Linked DNA regions of Notamacropus eugenii. The protein of the gene in region 2 interacts with the protein of the main gene of each other region in a pairwise test. Links are inferred from orthologs where the notes say so. Each region holds a gene or a part of one and is shown on either strand. Other genes may lie near its edges. The genes, in order: ZNF639, PNKP and TRIM37.

Region 1 (7,349 bases), on a different chromosome or scaffold from region 2:
GGGGAGGCCATTGCATTTATGTGCCCCTCCTCCAGGAGAAAAAGGGCTGTTGACAGGTGCAAAGGTGAAGGATCATCATGGCAGAGGGGCACAATGTGGAGCATCAACCTGGATCTGTCCTTTGTTGTACTGTGAGTCATGTGGACTCTGAAGGTTCCAAGAGAAGGGAGGATCCACTGGACTCCCTGGCAACAGTTAGGTCTTTCCCCTTGTTGGGGAGCCAGGGGAGGCCCATGTAGAGTAATATTTAAATTTGGAACACTGTGTTGGTATGATGGAGGCCCATTGGAGAGGAGAGAGGAGGAAGAATTGTCTTGACTGTTTATAAGCTTAGAAGCAAGTTCTTTGTAGTTCTTGTTGGGATAAGATAATGCCTATCCTCTGAGGCATGTCTGTACTGTATGTGATATCTTGTTATCCTGGGTGCTTACAGGGAGCTTAGAGCCCTTTTACTTTTATGAAGGAGACTGGAAATTCTGATGTTCCCAGAGGAAAGTGAGGGTAAGTGCACAACTAACTATTCTCTCTTATTAGAAAGTTTTCAAGATTGACCCTCCTCCCCCATCCATATTAACTTAGAGCTGCGGTTCTGGGTCTGCCTTTCCTGAAATTAGAAAACTAATCCCAGCTGACATGACACTGAGTACTTTCTAATTTAGGGATATTGTATGGGGCCATTAAACTTTTGTGATTTTTCCTTTTTATTAAAAGAGATCTTTCATTTAGCATAATGTTGTTTTTTTTTTTTAAAAAGTAGATTTCCACATATTACAAAGTGGTCAAAAATGTGTCGTACAGACTCTGTCCTACAGAGTACACAGAAAGTTACATTTAAAGATTTGCTGGGAAGCAAAAAACATGATATAGTGATCCCATTCCACCCCCTTGTGGTTATTAGGTTGGAAGTAAACACTTTTTTTTTTCTTCCTAAAAGAGATGCTGTACTTTCTTTAGTACTTTGGATGCTGTGGAATGTGGATTCATGGCTAGACTTGAGCCCAAAAGTTCCAAGGTCAAACCCATCTTCTAACATTAACCAGTCGTGTAACTCTGTCTGGATCAGTTTACCTTTCTGCATGTTTCCTCCTCAACATAAATGGGGATTATAACTGCAGAGAGCTGCTAAAGAGGCTCAAACAAGAAGATGGATGTCAAGAGTTTTGATAGCCTTAAAGCCCCATGTGGTCAGTTTTAGAAGAGGTCAATGATACCTAATCTGATCAAAACCTGATGACCTCCTTGCTGCTGAATTGATCCTAAATGTAAAAATAGAACCACAGGATGGTTAAGACTAGAAGGGACCTTTAACATAATCAGGTCTAAATTTCTCTTTTTATGGATGAGGAAACAGGGCCACAGAGAACACAGAAATTGATTTGCCCAGGTTTGTATTGCTAGAGAGCAGACCTAGAAGTGCTTAGAACAAGGATCTCCTGACCGACTCAGTACCCAGCTGTTTCCAGTAGTCATATCTACAATAGTCATGACTTCAGGGAAATAAAAAGGATCTTGATCTGAGATCCAGAGCTGAAAAAGACTTGAGATCATTTAGTCTAGTCTGTCACTTTACTGAACCTGAAACCTAGAGAATTTTAGTGATTTGTTCATGTTTCTTTCAAATCTAAAGGTGATCCTTTTTCAAGCTGTTTAAATCAGGTCTGCTGATGTTTATTGGGTAAGCATCTTACAGCCCATCTTATGTGATTTATGCACATTCTGTTGAAATACTGAACACCAGGAGCGTTTTTGACCCCTCTGGGGATAACCCAGGATGAGTGAGGCAGGCCTAGCTGTAATGAAACTTGTGACACTAAGTCACCTTGCTTGTCTTCCACTGCTGCTAAGGCCCTTGGAGATTTTACAAGAAAGAAGGCCTGGAAGAGGCTGGGCCAAATTTGGGCATGAATATTCTTGCCCTACTTTGATATGAACTGGTCCTCTCCAAGGTGCTTTCTTCAACATGTATCTGAATAAACAACTGCTCCTTCTTTCCCTTCTTTATTCCCAAGGAGTAAAAGAGGATGATAGGAAACAAGAGGTGGAATTTTGCAATGGAAATGGCACTGAATTTAATCAGAATTCCCAAGGTTTGGATCTCGAATTGGGACTCATTGCCCATCCTTAAGCAATAATTTCTCCCTCTGAGCCTCACTTCTGTACAGTGAGGGACTAGAATGGGGGCGGGGGAAACCTGTGACCCCCAAGGCCACATGTGGCCTTCTAGGTCCTTGGGTGCATCCTTTTGACTGAGTCCAAGTTTTACAAAACAAATCCTTTTACTAAGGGGATTTGTTCTATGACGTTTGGATTCAGTCAAAAGGCTACACTTGAGAGCCTAGAGGGACACATTTAATTACTGGATGAATTCTGAAGTTCCTTTAAATTTTTAATCTCATGACCCTATGGCGAAAGAAAAAGCTAAGGAGATCTGACGCTTCATAGAGAAGTATAGTGTCTAGAAAGAGAAGGCAGTCAGCCTAGTACTGTCTGGCAGACCACACCTAAATGCTGTCCTTCGGGGGGGGGGGTCACATTTAATAGGGACATTGATACCTTTTGAGGCAGCAGAATGGTGACCAGAGGACTGACTTCCAGGTCAGGAAAATCTGGGTTTATATCCTTCCTCTAATGAATGCTGACTGGATGGTCCCAGTCAAGTCACTTAACTTTTCAGTGGCCCAGGCAAATCTAAAACCATAATGCAAGAGCAAATGATTGCCTTTGGTTGAGGGAGTGTTCCTATCCCACAGATTCTATGCCAATAAAATTATAGGTTCTCTAATTAAAAAAAAAAAACAAAACAAAAATTTGCACTTGTCCAAAGAAGTTTTGCTAGAATGAGGAATGGATTAGAAATCATGCCATAGAAGGAGGATAATAAAAGAAAGGAACTGGATGGCCTGGAGAAGAAAAGACTGGGTCAGAATATCAGCTTTCAAAAACCTCAAAGATGCTCATGTGGAACAATTGTAGGAGTGATACGTCCTGTTCCATAGAAGTCCAGAAGAAATTTTCCCACCTTTTCAAAAATGTAATGAGTTTCTAAATTAAAATATTAATTTGCCTCTGAAACTTATATATGTACATATATACACACATATGTAGTATATAGTTATTTACATTCTCTCTTTAGAAAGTAAGCTCCTTGAGGGACTATTTTTGTCTTTCATTATATTCTCAGCTCTAGCACAATGAATGGCATATGGTAAGCACTGAATAAATGCTTGTTGATCGATAAGAAGATGTTCTAGAGGTCAGAGAAGCTTCCTAAAGATTAATGCTGCCCATATGTCATCTTACTGGGGAGGTGGGGAGTTCCCCCTCACTAGAAAGCTTCAGAAAAAGGCTGGATGACTACTTCTTGAGGATGTTGTAGAAGATCCTCGTTCAAGTAGGAGTTGGACTAGAGGAGGTAGCTATGTAATGCAATGGATAGAATGCTGGACTTGGAGTCAGGAAGACCTGAGGGCCAACCTTCTTTGGCCACTGACTACCTGTGTGACCCTAGGCAAGTCATTTAACTTCTCTGTGCCTCAGTTTCCTCATCTGCAAGATAGGAATGAACAATCTTACCCACTTCTCAAGGCAATTGTGAGGATCATATATGGAAGCTTTTTGTAAATCTTAATGCACTATGTGAAAACTTATTTTTATCATCATTATAAGTGACTTCCCCTAGATGTCAACAGGTAGTAGGTAGAATTCACTAGCAGCTACTGTGGCCCAATGGATGAGTGGGGTTTGAAGTCGGGAAGACCAGATTTCAAATACATCCTGAGACACTTACCTGTGTGATCTTGGGCAAGTCACTTAACCTCTGTCTGCCTCAGTTTCCCCAACTGTAATATGGGGATTATATTAGCACCTACCTCTCAGGGGTGTTGTGAGGATCTAAGGAGATATTTAGCACATAGTAGGTACTACCTAAATACTAGCTTATTAACAGCAGGAGCAGAAACAAGTTCTTCGGCCTCGTAACTGTTTTGCAGATGTAAAACGTTACGGAAAGACGAGTTGTCCACAATGAGTATCAGTACTATCTACCCCTTTGGTCGGTTCACGGACCCACCATCCACCCACCCAAGCTCGCACCTTTCCTGACCATCCCTCGGGCCGAGGTCTCAGATTCCAGGCCTCCGAGTCAGGTAAGGGCTCAGCCCCCACGCGGGCCGTTCACCGCCTCCGGACTCCCGCGCCCGCGCAGGAGGGCGGGGGGAGGGGGAGGGGTCCTGTCCGGAGTGGTCCCACGTGGCCGGGGGCAGGCGCGCGGGCTGGCTGCTCGGCCCCTCCCTTGGCGGGGGCGGGGCACGGGCGGCGCAGCGGCACGGAGGGTCCGGCAGGGGGCGCGCGGCGGCCGCCGCCTGCGCTGGGGCTGGAGGCTGGTGGTCGCTCCCTGGCCGGGTGTGCGTGCGGTCGCCGCGCGCCCCCCCTCCCTCCCGGCAGCCCCTCCCCCGCCCCGTCTCGGGAGGTGCACGGCGCAGGCGCGGAGCCAGGTGGTGAGTGCGGGCCGCGGCGGGGCCGGGCCGGGGGAGGTCTAGGGCGGACGCGGGGCCTGGGCAGGCCGGGGCCTGCGCGGGTGGCGCTCGGGGCGAGGGCCGGGGCCTGTGCGGGCGGGCGGCGTGGCATGGCGCGGCGTGACGCCCTCCCCGCGGCCGGCGGGCGGGCTCAGCGCGTGGCCTCCTCCCGGCGCGTCCGAGGCGGCCCGGGCTGCGCTGCGCCACGCCGCGCGGGCCCTGCCTGCGGGGCCTCAGTGGCTCCATCCGCGGAGTGGGCGCGCAGCACGCCCGCGCCCATTGTACGGATGGGCAAATCGAGTCACCCGGGTGAGGCCATGAGTGGCCGAGGGCTCCGGGCCTGGGCTCAGAGAGACCCGAATTCAGGTCCAGCCCCTGCCACTTACTGACCCCGGGCTATCCCCCGAACCGCCCAGTACTTCGGTTTCCTCGTCTGTAAAATGGGGGACACGCTAATACTTACCTGCCTAGCAGCGTGGCCCTGGGTAAGTCAATCACCCGACCCTGACCTCAGTTTCTTCATATGTAGCATGGACTGGATAGTGGGGGCTGCGGGGGGAGTAGGGCTGACGCTGCGGTCACGTTCCCTCTAAAGCGTTTTGCGAACCTTAAAGCCCCGAGCGTTAGCAGTTGTTGGTATTATTAGTAATGGTAATAGGCCATTTGCCCCAGGTAGCAAAGATCGCTTGCGGTGGAAGCAATTTTGGAGGCCAGGTTCTTTGACCCCCAGGTCCCAGGGCTGCCCCCTGTATGGGGAGAGTGCTCCACAAACCGTGTAACCTCGTGAAAACTGCACTGACGGTTGTTGGTGTTCCATCATCGCCGTCCTCATCCCCATCTCCCCTATCCACTCGGTGGGACGTGCATTAATTAGACTGAGCCGCGAGGCCTGGCCCTGCCCCACTCGTGGCCTCGAGGCTTTGGACAGTGATTTGTCCACAAGCGCTTCCTAAGTGGTGCTCCATGTGTGGCAGCTCGAGAGCACTAGACTCAGGAAGCAAAAAAATAAAAAGACCAAAAAAAAGAAAGCCAGTCCCTTCCCTCTAGGAACTTAAGTATCTACGAGGAGAGGGCTGCGAAATAACTTTGTATCTAGGAGATAGATACAATGTAAATGCAAGGGAATCTCCTAGGAAAGGCACCCGGAAGAGGGATTTGCAAAGGCCTCTGCTTTAAGGTGGGTTGTGAACTGTCTCTAACGAAGAACAGAGAAGCCCGGAGGTGGAAATGAGGAAAGGGGAGCATTCCCAGCATGAGGAACAGCAAGTACAAAGGCATGGAATCAGCAGATAGATGTTCTATGAAGAAGGAAAAGTAGGCCAGGGTTGCTGGATCCTAGAATGTGTGGAGGGGAGTAAGCCAGGTCACTTAGGGCTTTAAATACCAAACAGAGGAATTGATATTTTAACTTGGAAATACTAAGGAGCCATTAGAAGTTAACATTTTGATTATATGGAATATGCCTTAGGAAGATCACTTTGACAGTTGAGTAGAGAGTGGTTTAGAATGGGGAGAGATGGGACCAGGAGACCCATCATTGTAAGTAGTCTCCCATAGAGGGAGAGACACAGAGCAATTTACTATCATGTGGAACTTTGGGTAGAGTCCTTTCTGCTCTGACACTAACTGTGTGACCCTAGGCAAATCACTTAACTTGTCTGCCTCAGTTTCCTCCACTGTAAAATGAGTGTAACAGTAATCTGCTTGCCAGGGTTGTTGTGAGGATCAAATGAGATGATATTTGGAAAGGTTTAGCACAGCGTCTGGCACACAGTAGGTGCTAAATAAATGTTTTATTGCTTCCTCCCCCCCCCCAACATTCCCTGGAAATAACACCAAAAGAAGAGGTTAGCAGAGAGCAAGGGCCCTGGAGGCAACTTAATGAGTGTGAAAGTTAAGGAGTTTCTGAATTGGGAGACTACTGCTTGTCAGAGGAAAAGCAGCCGCATTGGCTAGAGGATAAACTTAGGAAGCCTCCCAAGCCATGTCCTGACCTGTCTGGCAGTCTGGCCCTTGTGGGCATTCAGATAGTGCAGGTCTGAGGCAGCAGTGAGCCTTTGTTTCAGCAGCAGCACAGAGTTGTCTTCTCTTCCCTGTTTGGGAGAATATAAAATATGTGATGGACTTCAGAATAAAAGTAGAGCTGGACTTGGTGATCTGTGATAGGTCCTTCCTGCCCTGCCTGATCCTATGTGTGCAGCTGTTTGTAAGTGTGCAAACCTGATGTAAATGTGAGCCCCTATCATTGCTGCATTTGGACAGCATTGGTGGTGAGCCGGATGCAGGCACATCTTGGGGCCTTGGTGGAGTCTGGCCTACCCAACTTCAATAGCACCTGCTCTGAGCCAGGTGCTCTGTACAACCCACAGGGCAGACGGTCTTCATCCTTAAGCTACGCTCTGCTTAATAACTGAAGAACTTTGAGCTGGGCCCTAAATAACCCTGGGCCTCAGTTTCCTCATTTGTAGATTTGGAAGTTGGTTGAGATGATCTCTGAAGTCAGATGATTGTAGTAGATGAAGGGTTGGTTGTGTGATAATGGCCGAGTGCCAGGATGAAATAACCTGTTTGGGTGGGCCTTTCATCTATTTATTTGGGGGAATAAAATACAAAACTTCATTTTATAATGATAATGGCAAATTGGAATGTTTCTAAGTATAAGGGGTTGCTAGACACATATTTCTGTGGTGCTATAAGATTAAAAAAGCTTTCCACTACCCCATTGAGATGGGTACTGCAATTGTTGGTCATTTTACTGATGGGGAAGTTGAGATTCAGGAAAGTGAAATGAGTCTTCTTCATCCAGCCTAAGGTAGTGGTTGTCAAAGCCTGGTT
Region 2 (7,982 bases):
TGAGGTTAGACAGGAGCCTCAAAGCCCCACTTCCAGCCCTGAGACCCAGGCACTACCTGTAGCTGAACATGACCATGTCAGACACTGGAGGGTGGGGGGAGCCGATCATCTCTCTGAACTGGGGGGAAAAGTGACAGGGTCATAAAGTCAGAGGGTTGGGGTCAGAGAGCCCAGGATCATGGCCAAAGGTACCAGCCCCTCCTCACCCGGTTGTTGTGTCGGGCCAGATCCAGTGAAGCCGTGAAATGGAAACATCTACAGGGGACTCCAGCATCCTTGGCACATGAGATATACCTGCCGAGGTCAGGGGGAAGTTGGGAGGGCTCTATGTGGCTCTCTCCTGCCTTACTCTCTCATGTCCCCCTCAGTACCTGGCCCGGCTTGCAGGGTCAGGGTTGGTGTTGTCCACCACAGCTCGGCCCCCAGCCTTCAGGGCCTCAGCACAAACAGCCACACATTTCTGCCAAGAGCCCAGTGTGTCCTAGGGGAAAGTGATGGGGATTAAGCCTCAGCTCAGAACCTGACCTTCCCTCTCTTTAGCTGATTAGGGACATGGAGATGCACAGAACAATCCCTTTGCCTCAAGTGTCCCTGGCTGCCAACTAGAAACAAGACTCCTGTTCCCACAAGCTACATGAAGCCTCCGCTAAATGGGAGGTGTCCCAGCAGTGGGGGATTGGGCTGGCCCATCCAGTCCCATATGTACCCTGTTTGCATAGACGTAGCCAGCTGACACCAGGTGTTCCTGGAGAAAAGTTGACTTCCCAGCTGTGGGAAGAGATAGGGCAGAGAGATGAGGGATGGAGCTGGGTCTGGGGAAGGGTAACAGAGGTTGGGTGACAGAAGTCAAAGGCTGTCTCACCCGCTGGGAAGCCAACGGCAATGATGATCTCGGGGCCTGGACCCACAAGAGGCCCAGCAGGTGGCAGGCACAAGGGCCCTGTGGGGCTCAGAGTTCTCTGCAGGAAATTGGGGAGGAATGAGACCAGGCCCCATAAAAGGCTCCCATGTGTCTCCACCTCCCATCCAGAGCTCCCCAGACCTCACCGGGTCAAAGTCTGGGAGCGTGAAGGGGGCTGGAGCCCAATTCAAGAAAAACTCTTCGGGAGTTGAGAAGCGCAGGCCAAGGTTCAAGGCAAACTGAGAGAGAAAGCAGAATGAGAAAGTAGATCCCCCCAGACCGCAGTCTTAGGCAGGAGCTGGGGAGATAGGAGCCCTCACCAACCGGTCCCCACAAGAGAAGTCCTTTTTCTTCCGGTCTGGAGCCCAGTTGGCTGGACGTCCTGCAGCATCTGAAAATGGGGCTGGCCTCAGTTCCTCTGCCTCAGAAAGAGATGCCCCTCAAGCCTCTCACCTCCTCCCAAACTGCTCCTGACCTCACCTCCCACGTAGATGCTGTCTGCCAAGGAAATGGGGACTCTGTCGTTGGCCTGAGAGAAGCAAGATCAGAGATGCTGGGAAGAAGGGGAAGCGGGAAATACCCAGAGCTGATGAAAGCAGAAGGGAAGCAGGGCTGGGTCCCAGGGACATGGGGGCTGAGACCCCCAGAAACAGGCAGCTCCTCCCCTCCCACTCCAAAGGCAGCCCAGAGGCACCTGCTCACACAAGTGATCCCACATGCCTGTCACTGGTTTGCGGTAAATCCCCGCGCGTGTGGCCACCAGCACCTGCAAAGGGAAAGGGACACGGCAAGGGCAGGTAAGACCTCCAGACAGAGGCTGCCACCCGCTGCTCCGTAACGTGCTTCGTGCCCACCTGGAAATGAGCCCCCAGGGCTGACAGCACAGCCTCCACCTTGGCCTGGAAGTCTTGGGGCCGCAGCCGGCCTCGCCCGATGCCCAGCTGGTTGGTGAAGATGACGAGCTGTGGTCAAGGCAGGAGGGGAGGTCACTGGGGTCCTCGGCTCAGCCCCGCCACCCCCAGCTCTCCGGCCCCTACCTTGTACCCATCGGCCTCAAGCTCCTGGAGCCGCTTCGGGATCCCCGGGAAAAGGATCCTGGGGGGAAGGAGGAGGAGATGGCACCGGAGGGGCACCCCCTGCCGGGACCCTCCCCAGGCTGCGGCCTCACCTCCAGTCCTCGGGGCCAGTGGGGAAGACCTTCCCGGAGCGGGTTGTGATGAGGGTCCCGTCCAGGTCGAAGCAGGCCACCTAGGGGGGCAAAGCCGCCTGGTGTGGGACCTGCCGGGCACAGGCGGAGCCCCCCGGGCCGCCGGGCGGGGCGCTCACCTTCTCCCGGGCCTGGGCTCCGGGATCCGTGAACAGCAGCAGGGCCCCGAGCTCCTGCCAGCCGTGGGGGCCCTGGGGGCCGCGGGCCCGCTTGGGGGGGGGCGCCTCCTCCTGCGCCTCCGGAGGCCCCGCGGTCCTCAGCAGCGTTAGCGGGTACCGGCCGTTCACCAGCAGCAGCGTCTCCCCGACGGCCAGCGGAGCTCGGGAGCCGGGGCTCAGCTGGGTGCCCCCGGCCTTGGAGGGGTTCACGCCCAGCTGGGAGGGGGAGGGGAGAGGGCGGGGCCCCGCTGGTCAGGCCCCGCCCCCACGGCTGCCAGCCCGCCCTGCTGGGGCGGGAGAGCGGAGCCCCGCCCACCAGGCCCTACCCCGCCCCCACGGCTGCCAGCCCGCCCTGCTGGGGAGCGGGGGAGCCCCGCCCATCAGGCCCTACCCCGCCCCCCGCGGCTGCCAGCGTGCCCAGGGCATGCGTCCCACAACAGGAAACCCAACGAGCCGCTCTCCGGCCGACCCGATCCCTCCCTCCAGCCCCCCCACCCCCCGCCACGCTGTTACCTGCGTCACCATCACGACCTGAGACGCGGGGTCCACGTGCAGCTCCACTGGTGGGGGAGGGGAAGATGAGGTCCCGCCCGCTCGATGCCCAGGCCCCGCCCCCACCCCGCCGCGCTGGTTCCCCACCTTGGCTGCGCGAGCACTTCCGGTCGGTGACTCGAGTCTGTGGTCCCCGACCCAGCACGAGACTGCGGCCGGCAGGGGGTAAGGGGATCGGGGGCGGACCCCCAGGAGGGCTGTGCAGCCACAGGGAGGGTTCCGACGTGGCCATGCCTACCACCCCTGCACTGTGCCGGCTTCAGGACCGCCACCGGAAGTCCCGCCTATCCCGTCAGAGCGCGGCCGGAAAAAGGAAGGCTGGGCTCGTATGCGAGGCCTATTTCAATTTGACCCGCCCCTTTCCTTCTAGTGGGGCGAGGCCGCGCCCACTCCCGGAATCCCACCCCAGCCCCTTCCCAGAGAGCGGAGGCCACGGTCAAAGTCAAACTCTTTATTCGTAGGCGTTCCCCCTGCCCCTTCCCACCCTCCCAGGGGCGGGCAGGGCCCTTTAAGGCATGTGTGGGAACAGAGGATTAGCAAGCCCCCGAGGGCGAGGGGTAGCTGATCGGCTAAACCCTTCCCAGGAACAGGCCAATAAGGGGTGGGTAGCGTCATCGGATAGGGACTAATGCAACTGGGCCATCCCTGAGGTGGGGCGGAACCAGAACAGGGCGGCTGTAGTGTCGAGAATAGGGGCTTCTCCGTAGTAAAGTCTTTCCCCGAACAGCGGGAGCCACTGGCAGTTCAGGCATTGATTGGATCCTCCTTAAAGGGGAGGACCCAAAAGAACTAAGGCTGCGGTTGGCCAAGGGGACAACACAAGGGCCATACGAGGAGCTGATTGGATGCCCCCGCACCCTCCCCTAAAGGATGCTCCGGGAAAAGAGCCTGGGATTGGCCAGGGCCTGTGGAGGAGTGGAATTAAGAGGAAACTCGGGGAGTCGATTGGATACTTCCATTACCCTCCCCCAACGCACGGGAAGAGCAAGAAAAACGGAGCCCCAGAGAAAGGGAGGGTGGGGCAAAGAACGGATCCGGGATTGGCCAGGTCTGGACGTGCCAGGGGCGGGGCCAGAGGGCAGGGAATGGGGGTGGGGGAAGAAGGAAGAAAAAGGATAGGCGAAAGGGGAGGCGCAGACAGGCGCCCCCCCTCAATATTTCCGCTTGAGCTTCTGAAAGTCACTGGTGTTGAGGCGGGGCCGGGGTAGGTCTCCGAACACCTGGGAGCCTTCGGCCTCGCGCAGAACCAGGGCCTGCATGCTGGCCGCAATGCGCTCAAGGTCCGGGGAGGAGGGCTGTGGGCAGGGGGCAGCTGGTCAGCCAGGGCTACTCAGGGTCCCCTCCCTGCAGATCGAACCGCCCCCACCCCCCACCCCCCACCCCCCACCCCCCACCCCCCACCATGTCCACCGTCACTCACGGGCCCGTTCTCCTCATCCGAAGACCTGGTCTCCGTTCTCTTGTCCTTGAAGCCCCATACTGGCACGGAAACCGGCAGGGACTTGGCATACTGCTGGGGGACCTGGCTCACACACGGAGGGCCGGCTGGTGCCTCTTCGCTCAGGCTCCCGTCATCGGTGCTCTCAGGGTCAGATTCACAGAATGGGGGCAAGTCCTCGTGGGCAGTGTCTTCGTCCATCACAAAGAGGCCTGAAGGAGGGTGGGGGGTCTTGGTTCCCAGTTCTGACCTCCCAGGCTTCCATCCGGCAGAGCTTCCCTCTGCACCCACTCCCTCCTTCTGGCTCCTTCTTACCTCCGTCATCTCCCAGTCCTAGCCTGCTCCCTGAAGTCTCTGTTTCTGTCTCCTCCTCGTCCTCATTGCCGTCCTCCTGCTCCTTCTTGTCTTCTTGCCTCCGAGGATGGGGAGAGCTCCTTGGGCTAGGGGCCTGGGGCTCCGGTGCAGGGCGTGGTGCAGGGGGCCTGGCAGCCGCGGCCCGGTGGGCCTGTGCTATGTCATGTAAGCAGCGCCTGGCAGCTTCTGCCAGGGCGCCCCGGCCATGGGCTGCGTAGGCACAGGGGCCTGGCCGTGGTGGGGGCGGGGGTGCAGCTGTCAGCAGCACCAGCTCCGTACCTGTCTGTGCCCGAAAACGCTCTGCTGCCCCCACCACGGCTTCCCATAGCTCCTCAGGACGCCCAGATGCCATCCACGCCCTGGTGAGAGAAAAGAGAGTGACTCAGGTGGAAGCCGCGCATAGTGGCCCCCCCACTCACACACTTACACACACCTTAACAGAGAAGGGGACTGAAAAAGCTTGAAGAGGCTGTTTAGTGCAATGCCCTTCTTTGACAGAAAAGGCCCCAAAAGCCCAGAGAAGACCCTGGCCGGGCCGTCACCCTGTCTCTGCAGAGGCTTGTACAGAAGTCCCGACAGACACCGCCATGGGGGGAGCAACCGAGGTTACAAAGCGGTAGGTCTCACGCCGGTTCTAGGGCCGGTGACATAGAACGCCCGAGGGGAGGGATCTGGGGGCAGGGATAATCCAGGGGGATTAATGGGAGGAGGGAAAAGGCCGCAGAGTCCGGAATTGCATCCAGGTTTCCACCTAAGAGAGGATCCCCTCCACACCTGCCACCAGTTCCCCCAGTTTGGGCATGGAACAGTTGCTCAGCTCCGCCCTCCACGTGGGAAAACAGGAAGTCCTGCCCCTTGTGGGCGGGGCAAGGAGTTCCGAGGTACGAAGTAGCCCCAACCCTGTGGGGAGAGGAAAGAGGAAATCACCCCTCCTCCCCCTTCGCCCCGCCTCCCCACTCCCCAAAGAGGAAAACGGATGTCCCGCCTCCCAGGGGTTGGGAAAGCTAACGTCGAAAGCCGCCTTCTCGAAGAGAAGGCTGAAACCGGAAGTCCCGCCCTTGCGTGGGAGGGGGCACGCCAGGAGCCGGACCCCAGACCACCCCCCTCCGCTCCCCCATCATCCCGACATAGGTTACGGGCTTGGATCGGAGAAGTTCTGGAGTGAGCGCGGGGCCTCGGCCCCCTCTCTCCACGCGAGGATGGCTGCGCTGTCAGCTCGCTTACCTCGGCCGGGCTCCTGTCTCCCTGCCTCCCTCCCCGCCAGCCTTCGGTCCTCCCCAGGCGTCCGCGCCGCAGCCGCTCACGTGCTTGCGGCCAGCATGGCGGGCCTGGCGCCCTCACAGGGCATGGCGGCCTCGGCGTCATTTCCGCCCGGCGCCAGCCTCGCCGAAGCGCTCGCGACTCGCGGTCGGCGCGTCTCTGCAGCCTACCCTCGTTCTGCAAGGAGGGGCCCACCTGACCTGCCCTTAAACATCATGGCGGCCGCGCGGCTTCACGCCCCGCCCCTTGCCGAGGTCCATGGCGCTTCCGCCACAGACCTTATCCCTGAGGGGGCCGCTCCGCCTCCTGCCCGCGAGCATGGCCAGGTACAACCACGTCCTCGCCCCGGGGGCCCGCGACACCACGGCCCCGGCCGCTGCCTTCCTCCGGGTGACTCCCGCTCCGCTTCCCTTCCTCCCCCCACTTCCTTGCACGGAAGTGGTATGCCCCGCACTAACATGGCGCTCACAGCGCTGCGCAGCTCGCTTCTTTGAACGATGGCAGCACCGCTGCGGCATCCCTAAAAATCCAGGCGGAAAAGGTGGGGCTCTCGCGGTGGGGCGAGGCTTGGCAACTTCCGTCTTTGTTTACTTCTTGCTGGGAGCCCGCATGACGCGCCGGCGCACTGCCCAGTCTCAGCACCGCCCCCCCCATTGCATCTGCGCAGAACGCATTTGTTACTCTTCTCCCTCTTCTATTAGTGGTTTGATCCGCTGACGGCCGAAGGAACAAGCGGACGCTACCATTTTACTCCCATCGAGGGGAGGTTCGTCCCGCCGGATGTGACGTAAGGAATTTGTCTCCGGAGGCGGAGCGAGCTAGGGGTGTGGCCTCGGCCCCAGCTGCGACTATGGAGGAAGCTGGCTACCGGGTAAGAGGTGGCGGAGAACCTAAGAGGCCTCCTGTTTGACCTTTCCTTCCGTCCTTTAGGAACCTGGGTCCTGCCCTTCTCTGACCCTTCCCCACTACCCTTCTGGCCCCCGATCTCTTAGCGCACGCGTCTCCCTCGGCCTCGAATCCTCGGTAAAGCGTCAGCTGCGCTGATCTTTCTGCGCATGCGCCCCTGCTCAGGTACCGCCCTTGGGCGGAACTGCTTCCTCACTTCTGGCTGTGCGCATGCTACCCACCCGCCCCCGGGCACCCGCCTCCCCCTTTTGCCCGCTTCTGTGCACGTGTGCAGGCTCCTGCTGAGCCTCAGCCTCATCCCCACCTGTAGGTGGTTTTCGAGAAGGGCGGAGTATACCTGCACACGAGCGCCAGGGGGCGGCACCAGGACCCGGGCTCGCTCATCGCTGGCGTACTGCGCCTGCTCGAGAAGGTGGGTTCCCAGCAAGTGGGCGTGGCTTGGGCCGTGGGGGCGGCCTCGGGCTAGCTGGGCGGGGCAGCCCTGGGTCTCCCATTTCTTCTCTTTGTCCTTCCCTCCCCCCAGGACAATGACGTCATCCTGCATTGGGCCCCAGTGGAAGAGGCCGGAGACTCCTCCCACGTGGTTTTCTCTAGGAAGGTGGGCACCCCGCCCCCCCAGGGTCTTCTTCCTGGGGTCTCGATGTGTTCGGTTTCTCCTCCCCCTCCGTGTCTGGGGGGCGTGCCCCCCAAATCAGGCTGGAAAGTTCTGGCCCCCCACCCGCGTGTTCAGTCTCCCTTTCCCCACGACCCTCCCATCCTATCTCGGGGTGTGTTGGCGTGCACCTCCCCTCACACAGTTGGATCGCCCCTTTCCTCTGGGAATATGTGGGGCCCCCCGTATATCTAGGTCTCTGCTGTGCATTTGGGGCTCCCTCCCCAGGAGTTTTCAGGGCCTCCCATACATCTAGGTCTCTGTTATCTCAGGGCATGTCTAGGGGCCCCTCCCCAGGATATATGCAGCCTTCACAAATTCAGATATCCCCTCTCCTCCAGGGTATGTTCAGGGCCCCACCCCCTTGTGCTGTCTCAGATCAGTCTGTTCCCCTTTAGGGGGCTCAGTGTCTACTTGTCAAACCCACGGTGACAGGGTCAGAAAATCTGGACTCAAATTGATGTTTGGGGTTTTGACTTTTTGGTCCCATTTTTACCCATTGGTGTAATAGGGTTGGGTCACCTTGTTCCAGGGGTGGGTTCTATAAATGCTAG
Region 3 (8,383 bases), on a different chromosome or scaffold from region 2:
TCCACAGAGCACCTTGAACCTGGAGAAGTCTATATGCCAGAAGGTCAGGTGACTCTGGTACTACATGCAACTGACTGTATTACTTCCCTACTCAAATTTTTCAGTAGCTCCTCTTGCCTCTAGGAAAAGCATTTGGAGTTAAGTGACTTGCCCAAGGTCAAATAGCTAGGGAGTGTCAAACGTCTGACACTGAATTTGAACTCAGGTCCTCCTGACTCCAGACCTCAGGCTGTATTCACTGCATCACCTAACTGCCCCTAGGATGAAGGTTTTTAACCCCTTTTGTATCATGGGACTCCTTTGGGGGTCTTATAAAGCCTATGAACCCCTTCTTAGAATAATATTTTTAAACACATAAAATCCATAGGATTGCAAAGGAGACCAATTACATTGAAATACAATAATTAAAAAAAAAAAGTTCACTGAACCCCAAATTAAGAATCCCTGTTGTAAGGATAAAATACAAAATCTTCAGTCTGATTTTTCACATCCTCCACACCATGGGTCCCCTATACCTTTCCGGTAATATTTTATATTACCATCCACACACCCTTGCTGTTCCCCAAACGTGGTGTGCCACCTCCCACTTTTAGCCCTTTGCACAAGGTAGACTTCATGTTGAGAATGCAGTCACTGCTCACCTCTACTTCTCAGAAATCAGCTTTGTCTAAAGCACAATGTAGGGATTACCTCCTCCTATAGAAAGGCTTTCCTGGTTTCTTCTTGTAATTACTTTGGATAACCTTTGTATTTACTTAACTTTGTGAATCAAACCTTTTTTCCCCCCTTCAGAGCAAAGTATTCTTTGTTGTGAAAAATCACAAGACACTGAATGTTTAAGTTGGCAACAAATAACGGTTCCTGGGCAGTCAGGCCTACAGCAGCCTTTATCTGGGGATTGGGATTTCTTTGCCTTTCCTTTCCTCTCCCACTTTACTTCCCTTTGACTCCCAGTTGAGGAGGCAGCTTTGCACTGTGGTGGATATAACTGCTACCGTGACCTTCCTGACTCAAGGCAGGAAAAACAGGAAGCAAGCTGCAGCTGGGAGAAGGTAGAAGTCTCAGGGTATGGGAAGGAATTCCGCAGCACACTTAGCATTCCATACAGCCATCCCCTTTAAGGATCACTGGCATGTGTGCTTCTCCTCTCCCTTCTCTGCTCTCCTCCTCCCCCCTCAAGTAGAAAGTAAGTTCTCTCTGGTTATTTTTTATTTTTGTTGTTGTTATTCTAGCCTTTACATCCTGGTCTCCAGCACAATGCTGGTACTTAGCAGATGTTTAAAACAAACATTTGTAGGATTGGATTGGATTGAATTGACAGGCAGGAATTTGGGCCTTTGTATTTTTTTGTCTCTTAAACCCCTTTTCACGCCACAGTGATAATAATCTTTTCTCACAATCTGTTTTGGGCATTAATTAGCTTATCACAGAAATAATGACTCAGAAGGGGTGAGGGGAGGAAATGGGCACACTACACAAAAGTCAATAAAAAACCCCACCAATGTCTTTTTATGTTTCCTTGATCTACTAAGGGTACTTAATGCTTAAAATAGCTCAATAACTAGGACTTTCCAGTAGCATGGTGTAATAAAAAAAATTACATTATGGATTTGAAGCCCAGCTCTGCTACCTATATAGCAACAGAAACAAAAAAAAAGTGGAGGAGTTCTTATTTTAGCTCCTACTCCCACTAATAGACTGGGTCCCTGAGAGTAGCTATTGTATCTTTTCCTTAAATATTCTAGGATAGAAGTGTTACTGGGTCAGAGCTGCATGTAGCTCACAACATTCCCTAATGTTGCTGAAATTAGATTAAAATGTAATTAGGAAATATTTAAGAAGACAAAACATAATAAGATATAGATTATTACATTTTAAAACTAAGTCAATATGTGGCTGTAGGTATCCTTATTATAGGATTTAGTGACCTCTAAGCTCATCTCCTTTCTTCCTTCTAAAAATAGGAGACACAACAGAGACAAAAGCAACATAGGTGCCATATATTCCAAGGCACATTATACTGGTTGGGGAGGGCCTACAATGGCAAGCAGGGAAGAGAGGGATTGAATTGTCAGTATCTTTATTATGCACACTCAGTTTTGGATCAGTAGTCAATAAAAAGGTTTTCCAGGATGATATCGCAGGTGAACAGAAAAGTCAGTGTTTGCATATGCTCTGAAGTGGAAGATGTGGCCTCTCCATTCTGTTACATCTCACTTCCAGAAGCAGACCACTCAAGCATCTACATACTTTGGCAGCAGACAGAAGCATTTGTGTATACTGCTAGGACTAGGCCCCTCATTGGCTAGTCACCCCCCATCCCCACCCTCCCCTTTTGCTGTGAGACCTTGGGTACATTACTTCATTCCTCATTCCTGTAATCCTCATCTGCAAAATAAAGGTGTTAAGACTAGATAACCTGGAGGATCTGTTTTTCGCTCTAGATCTGGTAATCTATTGCCCTAAGACTTACACGATTCTCTGATCCTTACTCATTAGACCTGTGAGCTCAGTGAATATGAAAAAAGGGATGGAGGATATGCATAGAGTCCAGGGTGAGGAACTTGTGGCCTTTTGACTGAATCCAAACTTTTGTTTGTCCAAACATTTGTTCTGTAAAGTTTGGATTCATTCAAAGGGCTGCATTTGAGGGCCTGGGGGTCCACATGTAGCCTTGAGGCTGCAGGTTCCCCACCTCTGGCATAGACTAACTCGACCTTGTTACTGGGGCAGCCAACTGTATTGTCAGCACACATGATTTGGCTTAAGCCCCAGGTCTGGGGAAAAAAAATCCCCTGAATGAACAAGAACAAAACATTTGTAGAAGCCTTTTACCCAAGGAATTAAAATGCAGCTGGGATGGATGCCTTCAGAATAGGACAGAAGTCTTTGGTGTACTATAACCCAAGAACTGGCAACTAGTCCTAAGGGAAGGGGGTGTGTAAACAACTGAAGCAGGGACGGGGAACAGATTAGAATTACTGGTTGGTGTTCAGCACTACCACTAATGCTATTTCTTGTTGGGGGAGACGAGATGCTAGGAAAACACTGTATGTAGCTCAAGCCAATGCAGAATGGTGGGGACCGTCTTTGATTATGAGAACAAATCTGCTGAAATGCCTACTTCCCTGTTCTGATTCCAAGAGCCTCCTTGCCTAATAGCCAGCAATATTTCTCCCCAAGGCCTGTCATCCTTCTCCCTTTGGCAAGTTCCTCCTGAAGTCTCTATTTTGTGATGATTACCAGGCCAATCTGCCTTCGTGGTCCTCCCCTTTCTTGTTGCTTCCTCTCCTCCACAGCCCCCTTTCAGCTTTCTTTAGCGTGTGATTTTTCCTCCTTAGAAAGTAAGCTCCTGGAAGGAAGAGACTTTTCTTTGTGCTTGCATTTACGCTCTTTGCATTTAAACACAGTGCCTGGAGCACCATAAAGGGTTTAATAAATGCTTGTTTCCTTCCTTTACCTCCCTTTAGTTCTTGTGCTGAGTCTAAATGTGATTTCCTACTTCTTTGGGAGTTTGTTTGCTTTTTGTATTTGTCAAGTGCAATCAAAAGAAAATTGTTTCTCTGATACTCAGTTTGTGCCCCGAGTAACATACTATGGTTGCCTAAGGGGGAAGTGGAGGAAAGAGACAGGGACTGTGATTCTTTTTTTAATTGTTGAGATTTTTCCCAGTTTGGGGGCTCAATTAGAACTACATATATTTTGATACATATCAATAGATTCTTCCCCAAAGCTGAGAAAAAAGATGAATACAGACTTAAGACCCCCAAACGAGTCAGTAGGAGGAGGGCTAGGCAAGTTAAAGGGGAAGGAAGCCCCTAAGAGGCAATAGTTAGAAGGAAACACAAAGAGGGTTTAGAGACCTAGAGGGACACAAGTCTGGAAAGACTTAAGGGTGGGGGCCTGGAGAGAGGTAGGAGCTAATTTTCTTGATTGAAAACATCATTCTTTTCTTATCCCTTCCTTCCCGAACTGCCGAAGCCCTTCTCCAGTGCCAGGCTCTGTATTCAGGGGCTAAGATTAAATAAAAAGCAAGAGTCCTCAAGGAGCCTCTATTTTTAGTAGTGAGAGTGCGAGGTGGCACCCGGCCTAGACCTGAGTTCAAACTGGACCCCGGACACTAGCTGTGACCATGGCAAGTCTCTTAATCGATGCGTGTGTGCCTCAGTTTCCTCCGCTGTAAAATGGGGAGAATGGCAGCACCTCCCAGGGTTGTTCTGAGATACCTGTAAAGAGCCTGGCACACAGGAGGCACTACATGAATGCCACTGTTACTAGGAAAGCGCATCGTGGCATCAGGGGTGGGATGCTGAGGGTAGCAGCCAAGGAAGCTCATGACTCTTTCCAGAGAAAGCGAGGTTAGACTGTGAGAATGACAGTCCTTAGAGCAGCGGCCAGGGTCAGGGGAAGAGCTGAGAAATACGACATATAAGCAGACTGATGTCCTCCTTCCTCCTCCCGCGGTGGCAGGATGCCCCGAGGTTACTGCGGGAAGTGCCAAGGTGAGTGGCGGCACGTCCCGCGGGGGCCCTTCCGTAACAGCACGTTAGGAGGCTGGCCCTGCCGGGCGGAGCTGCCTTTCCCTAGCCAATCTGTCCTATTCTGTTCTGAATGAACGAACGCTCCTTCTCTCAGCCGTTACATTCAGAATACAATACAAATCCCCGCCATTCTTCCTCCCGGGGGCGTGGGAGGGGGCCTCGCTTCCTCCAGAGGGCTCACAGGCAGACGGGAACCTTTCCACGCAGGGCGTTCCCAAGGGCTGGAAAGGCACCCAGCGAGCCGCCTGACACGTGCCAGCGGCCGAGGCGGCCGCGTTCGTCCTCCGCTGGCCCAGACCCCGACCGGACCCGCCAGAAGCAGCGCGAGCAAAGCCTTATTTCCAATGCACTCCTTCGTCCACCCGCCCACCTATCCCGGGCCAGTCACCCGGACAAGACCCACCGAGGTGCAGCCTCCCAGGGCACCTGGCTCGAGTTCGGCTCTGAGAAAGCCCGGGAGCTGTCCCGGGGGCGGGGCATCTGGAGGCCCGGCCTACCGGCCCGGCGCGCTCTCCACGCGGCGGAAGGGCGATTTTCGCGCGGTAACGGGGGGCAGGGCATCCAGGAGACTCTTCCAAGATCCGGCCGAGTCGCGCAGTCCGGGTCAGCACGCTCTCCGGCGGGGGGGGAGGAGCGCTCGCTGCCCCTCCTCCGGTTAGTCCCCGCCCTCTGCGGTATTCCAGGCCCCGCCCCCTCCGCGGGCGCGCGGACTCCGAGCCAACCGCCGCCCCGCTCCCAGCCAGCCGCTACAGGCCCGCGGGGGGCGGCGCGCGACACTGCGGCAGCCGCGGGACGGTCTCGTGCTCCGCCGCGTCGCGAAGAGCACGTTTCTCCTCTCTTGCGGAGGCCTCCTACGCATGCGCGTTGCTCCCCTCCCGCTGCCGCCACCACCCTAGCCACCAGCTGCCCTGGTTACCGTTGGTGTCCCGGTACTCCCCTCTCCTAGCCCCGCGCCAGCACTTAGGCGGGATAGAGCCGTTCCCCCTGTCACGGGGGGGGTGGGGGGGAGGGAGCCGCTGTGGGGGTTCACGCTCGGCCCATTGTCCTCCCTGTTCGCCCGCTCGACCCCCCGGGCTAGGCTGGGCTGGGCTGGGCTGAGCCTGGCGCGCGGGGCCGGCTGACTGGAGAAGGGAGGGGCGCCCGGGTGGGGCGCGCGCGGACAAAAATGGCGAAATGGGGTTAGGCGGCGTGGAGGCGGGAGCGGCGGGGCGCCGAGGCGGGACCGGGTAGACCCGAGCCCCTGACCCCCACCCCGGGCATCCTGCTGTTCTCTCAGGCCAACCGGACCTGGCCACCCGGTTCTAACACCTGGTGGAGGAGAAGGACGGACTCCGCGGGATACCGCGGGGCCTGGCGGGAGCTGGAGGCAATGGATGAGCAGAGCGTGGAGGTGAGAGAAGAGGGGCGACGTCACTGCCGAGGGGAGGGGAGGGGGCGTTCTTCACCGGGGCAGCTCCGACCCCCCCCCCCCCCCCCCGCCCTCTTAGCCTTTTCCGAGGGGGGCGTGTCGCGTGCTCCAAAGGAGCCAGGCTCGCTTGGTTCTCGGCGCCACGCCCCCCAACACCGATGCCCCCCCACCGGCCCACCCCCTCCCACCGGCGACCCCCCAACACCGATGGCCCCCCTCCCGGCACCCCCCCAAGTGCCGCAGTCAGCTGGGTGCGCCTCTGGTGCTCCTTCCCGGGAGATGCCTTTGCACAATAATCCCTGTCCAGAAATGGAATGCGAAGGAATGGGTGCCCGTGTGCCCGCACTCTGTGCACCCGGCTCGTAGCGGTGCCCCGATTCCCCCTTACCGCACTGCCGGGCCCTTTTTTCTCTGCCTGGTAACCTGCCTGCCTCCAAGGGATGGGTAAAGACGTGCAGAAGTTCGGGCTCTGAGGCGCCGCGTCTGCCGGAGGCAAGGGGAATGAGAACCAGAGCTTAGCCCCCTCCCCAGCTTCCCTCTACCCCTGGGGAACAACCCCGAGAAGGGTGGGGGCTTACTCTGGGACGTGTGCTAAGGCACCCTGAGCCCCCAAGTGCTGCCGAAGGTGGCCGGTGAGGACCCTCGCTGCCCTCTTACTAGCTGGGACGTATTTGTCGGTTTATTGCTGTACGCTTATTTACTTCGATTTCCCTCAGCGTAGCTGTCCTGTTAGCTGTCCCCTTACACTACGTTCCAGTTTTGTTACACGCACGTTCCGTTAGGTTATATTCTATCCCCTTTCCCCCTCGGGAGTTCCCAACCTTTTTGGATTGCATCCTCAGATCCCTAGGCTTTCAGTCAACTTTCTGGTACCCTTTTATTCAATATGAAAGGAAATAAATTCTAGAGTTTACTATGTACGTGCATATAAGAAATGAAAGAGAAATTATTTTTTTAATAAAGAAAGCTTTATTTGGTACATAACCCGTTTAGTATTATAAAGGTTTTTTCCCCCATCAAATGTTGTGTTAGAACATATTAAGATAAATTAGTGAGACCTTTCATTCTTCTTGTCAACAGTTTTATTTTTGGTACAATTTTTGAAAGAGATATCTGCATGCCATATCCAGCTTCCACTTTTTTTCTTGCTTTAGATTTAATTGAGAACAGGATTGAGAAACCTGATTCCCAAAGACAAATTGTTATAAATGAAATTAAAGCTTTGTGAACATATAAGAATGGCTTACTGTTTTCCAAAGGTATACCCCAAGTTTTGTAACTTTATTGATTGGAAATCATTTTGAAGTCTCTAGTTACTGTGGAGATGAATTGGTTCATCTTTCACTGGGATGTTGATATTTTTTTCCAGATCCAAATGAAAAGTTTCATATTCCAAACCTCATTTATTTGGTTTTGGTCTATAAAAAATATTCATTCTCCCTTTCAGATTTTTAAAGTGCTCCTGCCTTTCCTACCCTGCCCCTGCTTCTTCACCATTTTTCTCTCAATTCACTCATTTTTTTCACTAACACTATTACTTTTGAAGTATTTCAATAGACTGACATTTATTTACCAAATATTCCTCTACTCCCTTGACAAGGTTTTCTTATTTCCTGGGGGAACATTTATACCAGACTGGGAACCCCTACCCTAATAGATACAAACTCTAGGGTCTTGCTCTTTTTCTTTTGGTTCTTAGTGAATTTCCAGTGTCTAGCACACTGCCATGCATGTAGTAGATACTTAATGTTTGTTGAACTGTTCAACCCATTTCTCTCACAGAATGCATTTAGAATTCCCAATAAGGTATTATATTAATGTTGATTCAGTTGCCTGATGTAGTGGTTTAATTATTTTCTTAGAGTATTGCTGAGGTTTTCCGATGTTTCATTTGTATGGAGAAATTGCGTGATGCACGTCTGTGTCCACATTGCTCCAAGCTCTGTTGTTTCAGCTGCATCCGGGTAAGTACTGTTCTTTTTAGTTAGAAGTAAGTAGGTTGGGTTATGACTTAAGGAGACTTCTGATAGATTGCTAAGGTGGACTTTCCATTTCTTTGTTGTTCTTCCCTGGCTATTGCAATTCTTATTTTAAAATGTGATAATTTTATTATTGTCAGTGAAATGAATGGGAAGGGTTTGGATTAATTTTTTTCTTTGTGCTTCATTGACATTATTCTCCAAGTGAATACTTACTTACCTCAGAATGTGTGAGGGTGATGTGAAAGGTAATAACATAATGGTTATACTTTGGGGCCTCGTAATGACTTTTTTCCTCATCCTTAAACTTCACTTTATCTTAGACTTTTATCTACCTACTCCTTTAGTGTGAGTGCCTTAGAAAAGCCGTCTCTCTTTTGTCATCACTATTATACGCTTCCTCCAGTTTTTTCAGTCTGTGGTATGGTGGAAAGAGCACCATACTGGGACTTGGG

The links.
Region 1: the proteins of PNKP (region 2) and ZNF639 interact in binary tests that used the Homo sapiens proteins (3 or more experiments, as listed by UniProt). The two-hybrid records come from large-scale screens. The link is inferred for Notamacropus eugenii from reciprocal best matches to the Homo sapiens genes PNKP and ZNF639.
Region 3: the proteins of PNKP (region 2) and TRIM37 interact in binary tests that used the Homo sapiens proteins (3 or more experiments, as listed by UniProt). The two-hybrid records come from large-scale screens. The link is inferred for Notamacropus eugenii from reciprocal best matches to the Homo sapiens genes PNKP and TRIM37.

The regions. Positions count from the first base shown.
Region 1 is NC_092877.1:344,920,642-344,927,990, reverse strand, and holds the start of ZNF639 (zinc finger protein 639), read left to right. Parts: upstream 1-4,329; 5' UTR 4,330-4,496; intron 4,497-4,799; exon of another isoform or gene 4,800-4,999; intron 5,000-7,349. UniProt on the Homo sapiens protein: Binds DNA and may function as a transcriptional repressor.
Region 2 is NC_092876.1:12,096,788-12,104,769, reverse strand, and holds the start of PNKP (bifunctional polynucleotide phosphatase/kinase), read right to left. Parts: upstream 3,051-7,982; coding exon 2,906-3,050; intron 2,827-2,905; coding exon 2,780-2,826; intron 2,483-2,779; coding exon 2,228-2,482; intron 2,150-2,227; coding exon 2,070-2,149; intron 1,997-2,069; coding exon 1,939-1,996; intron 1,864-1,938; coding exon 1,756-1,863; intron 1,668-1,755; coding exon 1,596-1,667; intron 1,431-1,595; coding exon 1,382-1,430; intron 1,293-1,381; coding exon 1,222-1,292; intron 1,141-1,221; coding exon 1,048-1,140; intron 960-1,047; coding exon 863-959; intron 769-862; coding exon 707-768; intron 482-706; coding exon 372-481; intron 295-371; coding exon 207-294; intron 119-206; coding exon 57-118; intron 1-56. Other genes in the region: AKT1S1 (proline-rich AKT1 substrate 1), read right to left, coding at 3,970-4,113, 4,239-4,468, 4,572-4,969, 6,149-6,330; TBC1D17 (TBC1 domain family member 17), read left to right, coding at 6,721-6,741, 7,087-7,188, 7,300-7,374. UniProt on the Homo sapiens protein: Plays a key role in the repair of DNA damage, functioning as part of both the non-homologous end-joining (NHEJ) and base excision repair (BER) pathways.
Region 3 is NC_092873.1:371,820,660-371,829,042, reverse strand, and holds the start of TRIM37 (E3 ubiquitin-protein ligase TRIM37), read left to right. Parts: upstream 1-5,217; 5' UTR 5,218-5,470; intron 5,471-5,687; exon of another isoform or gene 5,688-5,817; 5' UTR 5,818-5,910; coding exon 5,911-5,931; intron 5,932-7,811; coding exon 7,812-7,913; intron 7,914-8,383. UniProt on the Homo sapiens protein: E3 ubiquitin-protein ligase required to prevent centriole reduplication. Probably acts by ubiquitinating positive regulators of centriole reduplication.